Linked DNA regions of Canis lupus familiaris. The protein of the gene in region 1 interacts with the protein of each later gene in a pairwise test. Links are inferred from orthologs where the notes say so. Each region holds a gene or a part of one and is shown in the gene's direction. Other genes may lie near its edges.

What was found.
Region 2: the proteins of TRIM63 (region 1) and TNNI2 interact in a two-hybrid assay, tested with the Homo sapiens proteins (2 studies listed by BioGRID and IntAct). The link is inferred for Canis lupus familiaris from reciprocal best matches to the Homo sapiens genes TRIM63 and TNNI2.

Annotation. Positions count from the first base shown.
Region 1 is NC_049223.1:73,293,138-73,297,040, forward strand, and holds the start of TRIM63 (E3 ubiquitin-protein ligase TRIM63), read left to right. Parts: upstream 1-1,237; 5' UTR 1,238-1,494; coding exon 1,495-1,653; intron 1,654-2,525; coding exon 2,526-2,698; intron 2,699-3,903. UniProt on the Homo sapiens protein: E3 ubiquitin ligase. Mediates the ubiquitination and subsequent proteasomal degradation of CKM, GMEB1 and HIBADH.
Region 2 is NC_049239.1:46,530,438-46,534,340, forward strand, and holds the start of TNNI2 (troponin I, fast skeletal muscle), read left to right. Parts: upstream 1-1,599; 5' UTR 1,600-1,711; intron 1,712-2,155; exon of another isoform or gene 2,156-2,189; intron 2,190-2,311; 5' UTR 2,312-2,333; coding exon 2,334-2,341; intron 2,342-2,516; coding exon 2,517-2,523; intron 2,524-3,036; coding exon 3,037-3,078; intron 3,079-3,172; coding exon 3,173-3,301; intron 3,302-3,423; coding exon 3,424-3,513; intron 3,514-3,616; coding exon 3,617-3,793; intron 3,794-3,903. Other genes in the region: SYT8 (synaptotagmin-8), read left to right, coding at 1-107. UniProt on the Homo sapiens protein: Troponin I is the inhibitory subunit of troponin, the thin filament regulatory complex which confers calcium-sensitivity to striated muscle actomyosin ATPase activity.

The DNA of each region.
Region 1 (3,903 bases):
ATCCTTTTGCATGAGATTCTACCTTAAAAATAGCCATCAGAACTACTCTAGTGACTTCTACGTGCCAATACAGAAGGTGTCCAGAAGAACATAGAGAAAAATACAAATTTGTGCAGAGAGTAGAGGGGAACATCTAGATAATCTCTAGATGTCCAGGTAGGGCTTCATGGTACCAAAATGATAGCTATTTCGTTTTCCCCCTCGATAGGCTGTGAGCTTCTTGGGACAGGGAAAAGGATTACTCATTTATCTGTCACCCTGGTGCCTGAAGTATAGTTAGTACTCAGAGAAATGTCTGATGAATGAAAGATTCCTGGCTTTGCCACTGACTTTCTCCTCCTCCTCCTCCTCCTCCTCCTCCTCCTCCTCCTCCTCCTCCTCCTTCTTCTTCTTCTTCTTCTTCTTCTTCTTAAGATTTTATTTATTTATCCATGACAGACAGGGTGGCGGGGGGAGAGGCAGAGGGAGAAGCAGGCTCCATGCAGGGAGCCCGACGTGGGACTCCATCCCAGGTCTCCAGGATCACACTCTGGGCTGAAGGCAGCGCTAAACCACTGGGCCATCAGGGCTGCCCTCTTCTTTTTTTAAAAGTATGGTCCTGCTTTTTTTTTTTTTTTTTTTTTTTTTTAAGATCTTATTTATTTATTAGAGAGAGAGATAGCATGAATGGGGTGAGGGCAGAGGGAGAAGCAGACTCCCTGCCAAGCAGGGAGCCTGACACAGGGCTCAATTCCAGGACCCAGAGATCACGACTCAAGCCCAAGGCAGACACCCAACCGACTGAGCCACCTAGGAGTCCCTGCCACTGACTTTCTAAGTGACTTTGACTAAGATCCTTTCCTTCTCTGGACCTCAGTGTCAAAATCTATAAAACTGTGGAGGGACAGGCTAGCTGGGGTAGGGTTTCAAAGTTTCCAGCAATATGCTATGCTCAGAGATGGGCTCAGAGAGAGGGGCTGCCCTGACCCCTTTTCTTGGGAGCCACTCAGTACTCTAGAGGAAGGGATTTAGGACAGTGAGGGATCACTGGCTATGAACTCTGCAAATCCCAGTGGCCCACTCCTTGGGTCCACTTCCTGGCTTACCAGCCTGGTATAGGAGACTAGGTTCTGGAGGAAACTCTGGTACCCTCTCCTCCCCCCACGCTGCCCACGAACAGGCTGTTCTTGTTTACGACCCTCCTCCCAGGAGAACAGCGATTGCTCATCCCTACATGTGATTTGAGAGGGCCGGTCTTTCAGGCCTGGAGGAAACTCAAACCCAGCCAGCCACTTGGCATCGGAATGTTCAGCTGGTCCCCTTCTGGGGCTCATGTGACCGAGACCCAGCTATAAATATCAGAGGGGCCTCAGACCAAGACAGAATTCGGGCACCAGGAGAACAAGGCAAGGAGGCTCTGTGTGGGTATTTTGTGACGAAGGCAAGACCCCAGGTCTACGTAAAGTGAGGCAGGTAAAGGAGGCAGCCAGGTGAACCTCCACACGTCCTGACAATATGGATTATAAATCAAGCCTAATCCAGGATGGGAACCCCATGGAGAACCTGGAGAAGCAGCTCATCTGTCCTATCTGCCTGGAGATGTTTACCAAGCCGGTGGTCATCTTGCCTTGTCAGCACAACCTCTGCCGGAAGTGTGCCAATGACATTTTCCAGGTCAGTGCTGGGCATGGCCTTGTCCTGGGCTCCAGGCGGCTGCTCAGTATTCCTGTGGTGAAAGCCATTGTCTCTTAGTCTAGGACTTCTAAACTGCTGGCTTTCTCCCGAGCAGAGCAAAGCCCCTGCAGAGGCCTCTGGGCTGAAGGGGGCTCGGAGGTGACCCTGGCCACCCCATTCCTTCTCCATGACGTGTGCTTCCCGTCTCCACCCTGCCCGCAGCTCCCCCACTGCTGCCCGGAGCCCACAGTTGACTCTCCAAACAGGAGTCAAATGCCTCAAGCGATAAGTGGGAGAGGCGGGTGGAGAGGAGAGAGAAACCAGACCCCTGGGGCTGGAGCCAGCTCCCTGGTGGCAGCGGGCCCAGAGCTTTGGGAGGAGGAGGGTGGCCAGGAGGCACTGGGCAGTAGAGGCATCTTCCCCTTCGAGGCCGAGACTGGTTCCCTATAATGTGGGGCTGGAGGGGATCCATCTCAACAAAGGAATAGGAGAAGTGCCCTGGCTGGGAGGCAGGACTCAAGGTTCCAGAAGCACTTTGTACTAATGTTCTCTCCAAATTTTATCTTTGAATTAGCAGCCCTACGAGCAGGCTCTAACGATAATGTCCATTGCGTGAATGAGTAAACAGAGGCTTGGAGGGAGAAAGTGGCTTGCCCAAGGTCATTCAGAGGATAACTGTGACTTGAACCTAGGTCTGCTGCCTCCCAAACTTGCTGACCGCTTAGTTGCTTTCTCAGGTGCTCCCCGTGTACGTGGGCTGGCTCTCATCTCAGGATGGGGAGTTCCATGTCAAATGGCTTGACGAGAATGGTTGGGGTGAGCAAGAAAGACAGAGACTGTCCCAGGCCTCATCTCTGCCCTTCCATCCGCAGGCCGCGAACCCCTTCTGGACCAACCGGGTTGGCTCCGTGTCCATGTCTGGAGGCCGTTTCCGCTGCCCTTCCTGCCGCCACGAGGTGATCATGGATCGTCACGGAGTGTACGGCCTGCAACGGAATCTGCTGGTGGAGAACATCATTGATATCTACAAGCAGGAGTGCTCCAGGTCAGTCCTCCCGGCTCCTGGGAGCCATCCTTCCTCCCCACCTGGTCTGTGCCCAGCTCTCCCAGGCTCCTCCCCATGTGCCCAGGATCAGTGCCCTGGCTGGAGAGCTACACTAGCCAGTCCAGAGAGCCATCTCCCTCTTCTTCAGGCACAACAGAGGCTTATCTCTATCCCCCGACACTGGCTCTTGGGGTCGGTCCCTCAGTGAATGAGAAGAGCCCAGACATTAGGCTGCTCTCCTAGGACAGGCTGAGACAGGAACCAGGGGAGGGACAAACTGTGACATGGAGAGGGAGACACTGGGGCCAGCAAAGTGGCCGGGCAAGCAGAGAAAAGTGCCCAGAGAGAACACAGCCGGTCTCTCTATAGTGGAGGCAATGGCTGTCATCGTGGGTACCGGGGACGCTTCCTCCCGCTGCCCCACAACAATCCTGGGAATTGGGCATGACTTTCATCCTCCCCATTTCATGGATGAGGAAGCTGAGGCTCGAAGAGGTGAAGTCAGTTGCCCAAGTGTTCCCAGCTGAGAAGAGAAATAGCCGAGGACAGCCCTGCCGATCTGGCCCCAAGTCTCCCTGTTTGTAAAACAGCAGCTCTGTCTTGGGCAGAATTTGTGAGAGTGGAGTTTGTGCAGTGTGTGTGTCCAGCTGGAGAGAGATATGGCCACCAGGGAGCTCTTTACAAATTTGACACCTGACAAGACTCCCAGGCCACTGCCCTCAGGCCCTTGGGTCCCAAACCATCATCCAGTGTTGCCCGCCTGGCAGTGTCCTGCCCCAGGATAAGTGACAGACCAATCTTAGTGTGAAAAAGCCCTGACCAGGGGAACCGTCGGCTAGTCTGACTCTGTTACTAATGTATTGTGGGAACTTGGTTGAATCTTTGGGCCTTCATTTTATCCATCAGCAGAGGAGGATGGTAAGGTTTGTTAGTGTGACTATCAAATAGGGTTTTGATGGGAAATGTTAAAAGTATCAGATATGTATGGACACCTCCTGTGTCTAGGCACCTCGTCTTAAGCATTTTCCATGCGTGACCTTTATTTAATTCTCACAGTAATCCATACTACTTTCTTACCCTCATTTTCCAATGAGGAAATGGAGGCTCCTAGAAGGTCAGAGGTGTGCCCGAGGCTGCTCAGCAAGCCGTGATGCTGAGAGGGAGCCTAACTGACTCTATGGTGAATATTCCTAACTGCTATTGCC
Region 2 (3,903 bases), on another chromosome or scaffold:
ATGCCCGGCGGCCTGTTGCCCAGTGGCACCACCTGCAGCTCCCTGGGGAGGTGGACCGAGCCCTGGCCCTGAAACCCCGCCTACGCCTGCCCCTGCCCGGCTCCTGAACGCACCCCTGGGCTGAAGTGTGGGTACTGTCCAGGCTGCCCCGGGGGACCACTCCGCTGTAATAAATGCCTGCTCTTGCTGTGGCTGCCTGTGTTTCCGGAGCCCTTAGGGACACGCAGGAGGGTCATCATTGCTGCGGGGGGGAGGACTCTCTCCAGCCTCAGCCACAGATCCTCTGACCCCTTGGTGGAGTGAAGGAGTCCCCTCAAGCCCCACCAACCGGAGGGTGTGAAGAGGTGGTGAGCCCTCTTTGTCAGTGGGGCTGCAGGGTCAGGGACGGCGTGCTGGGTGGCAGGCTGCAGCCGGCCCCGCGGGGACCCAGGGGGAAATCAGGAGGTATCCTGGGGGTGGTGACAGTACAGGGAAAGGACCCCAACCCAAGGGGCCGCTGCAGCCCCCACAGGGCCCCAAACCTTCCAGCGGCTGCCGGCTGCTGTGAGGCCTCCTCTTGCGGACGGCAGGGGGCAGTAGATGTCTTCAGAAGTCACCTCGGGCCTTGGGGGCTCAGCCCTGGCCAGGAATGCAGCTCTAATCCCCACACATCTGGACGGCTTTAGCTCCCCCTGACCCTCCCCACGGCCCGTGAGGCCGGCAGGGCTGGGGCCACGCACCCCCAGCTCAGAGGATGCCAAGTCATGGTTGTCCGGATGTCTCTGCTGGGTGGGGGCCCCGGGCGGGGGGCGCAGGCCCGGGCCAGGGTGAGAAGGGCAGCAGCGCCGGGCCTGCCCGGGCAGCCAGGCAGGCCCCAGGCCCCTCGGGTCAGGGAGAGGTTCCCAGGCGGGTGGTGCCACCATCCCCGGGTTGAAGGACGGGTTCCGAGTGAGCCAGGAACCACCCCAGGGCAGGGTGTTCCGGCCGGTTGCACGTCCAGGCACCCTCCCTCCCGCTCCCAGGAGGACCGGATCTCAGCCGGGGGAGGGCAGCCCCCACTCGGAGGCCCTGGCCACCGCCACGGGCCATGTTTGGGGGGTTCAGGCCTTGCCCCGGAGCTGGGGCCGGCTTGGAGAAAGGACAGGACGTGGCAGGCTCATGCCTGGGGCACCTGGCCTGGCTAAGAGGCAGCAGTGAGCTGCGGGGGCTGCTCCCAGCGCGCGCGCGCGCGCACACACACACACACACACACACACACACACACACACACCCCGCCCCCCCCCCCCCCCCCCCCCCCCCCCCCCCCCCGGGGAAGCAGAGGGAAAACTGAGGAGTGGCCCCGGGCTCAGGACCTGAGTGACCTCTCAGTCGACCTCGAGCTTTTGCCCTGCAGTGGCCCAGCAAGGCCATGTACAGCTGACCCTGGGCTCCTTGCAAGAACAAGGGAGGCTTCTCGAACATGTCACTGAGCTCTAAATAGAGCAGCCCAGCCTCAGCACCCCCCCCCACCAAGACTTCTTGGACGGGACGACAGCACGCGGCTGGGCCGGGCCGGGCGGCCTGGGCAGGTGGGGAGGCCCCTGTGCCCCCATTGGTCTGAGGAGGGCTCCATGCCCTTTCTGAGCAGGGGCCCAGCCTGGGGAGGCCATTTATACCCCTCCCCCTGGGCCCACCAGCCCAACTTGCCGCTGCCGGCCTGACCTCGCTCCCGGCCCTGCTGCCCAGACACTAGGTGAGGCCAGCCCGGCCAGCCCAGGCCGAGGACAGGCACTCCTTGAGCTAGCTCCCAGGACGACCCAGGGTGGGGTCCTGGGGGTTGGGGGCCGCCTCTAGCAGCCCTCTCAGGGGGGGTGGCTTCCATGGAGCCTGGAGCCAGATGGCGATGCATTGGGAGGTGGCTGGGGTGGGGGGTGGCCAGGGGTCGTGGACAGCCTCCAGATCACCAGCCCTCCCTTCTGGGTGGGACACAGGGAGGAGATCTGATGGGTCGAGGGACCCCAGGCCAAAGCGGGGAGCACTTTCTTGCATGCACTTGGGCCCAAAGCCGAAGGAGCAGAGCTAAAAATAGTGGGAAGGCTCTCGTGGCCACCTGTGCTGGCCCGTCCCGCCCCCCCGGGACAGCTGCAACAACCCGGGCCCCGCCTGGGACATTTTAGGAACACTTTCTCCTCTTCTTACCCTGGGAATCCCAAGATGGTGCCTCCAAGGAGGTCAGAGCTGGGGGCAGGGCAACAGGCAGAGGGCTGGGGTCAGGGTGGCCCCCACCTGGATAACCAGCGTCCAGGGCAGGATGGGCCATGGCCCTCACACCCATGCCTTTTCTCTCCCACAGGCTCTAAGCCCAGGACTTCAGGATGGGGGAGTAAGTGCAGCCCAAAGCTGGGGGCCCCCTGCTGTCCCCACCCTCCCCACCAGGCGGGGGTCTCTACAGTTCCCCGGCTGGCTCTGACCACCCTCCACTCCCCCATCATACTGTCCCATCTATGTCCCTAACCTGTCTCTTTTCTCCCCTTAACCCCCCTGCCTCCCCGGGACAGTGAGGAGGTGAGTACCTGCTGGGGGGGGGGGAGGCATGAAACACAGAGGGGATGGGACCTGCCTGACTTGGGATAGGTCATAGGTTAGAGCACAGGGGCAGCTGCCCAGCCCTCCCCCGTGAGAGTGCCCCACCCAGCCACCCAGACTCAATGAAACAGGAAGTGGCTACCCACGTCTCACAGGGCAGGGGATGTGGGGCTGGGGCCTGGTCACCAGAATCGCTTCTTCTTTCTGAGGCTGCCCCCCACCTCCTGGGCCCTGCAGGGATCCCCTGCCCCTCCCCCTGCCCCTGAGGTACCGCCCCTTTTCCTTTTACCTCCCTGAGCCTTTAAGCCTCACCCGCCACCTGGTCACAGGTGTCCTGGGCCCGGTCCCCCAGCAGGGCCTTGGGACCCCCCCACCCCGGTTCAGTTGCATCCAGGCAGGGTCCACAGGCCTGGTGGAGCAAGCGTGGAGGGATGTGGGGGTGCCAGGGACCCCAACTAGCCCTGACTCTGCTTCCTGCCCCCTCCCCTGCAGAAACGCAACAGGGCCATCACGGCCCGGAGACAGCACCTGAAGGTAGGTGCTCCCTGGAGAGGGCCATCCCAGGGTGCCAGTGGGACTGGGCCACCACAGTCCCTCACCGCCTGCCCCCCGCTCCCTGCCCCTCTAGAGTGTCATGCTCCAGATTGCCGCCCAGGAGCTGGAGAAAGAAGAGAGTCGCCGTGAGTCTGAGAAGCAGAACTACCTGTCTGAGCACTGCCCGCCTCTGCACCTGCCCGGCTCCATGTCCGAAGTGCAGGTACCCTCCCCGAGCGGTGCTCTGGCCTGTTGCCTCAGTTTCCCCTTTGGTCAAGAGGGCCGGTAGGGTAGGTGGAGGTCAGGTGGACAGCTGCCCCACCCCACCTGCTGCCCCCACCCCAGGAGCTCTGCAAACAGCTGCACGCCAAGATCGACGCAGCCGAGGAGGAGAAGTATGACATGGAAGTGAGGGTTCAGAAGAGCACCAAGGAGGTAAGCAGGCATGGGGTGGGCGTGGACGGGTGAGGGGCTCCCCGGACCAGCAGGGGGCCCTGCAGCCACTGCCACCCACCCAGCCCTAACCTCTGCCCCGCAGCTGGAGGACATGAACCAGAAGCTGTTCGACCTGAGAGGCAAGTTCAAGAGGCCCCCGTTGAGGAGGGTGCGCATGTCTGCCGACGCGATGCTCAAGGCGCTGCTGGGCTCCAAGCACAAGGTGTGCATGGACCTGAGGGCCAACCTGAAGCAGGTCAAGAAGGAGGACACCGAGAAGGTACGCGGCACCTCCCCAGCCCACTGAGCAGACCCCCACCACGGCTGGGCTCTGGGCCCCGGGAGGGGGAAACTGAGGCCAAGGGCGGCCTGCAGTGCCTTCCTAAGCCC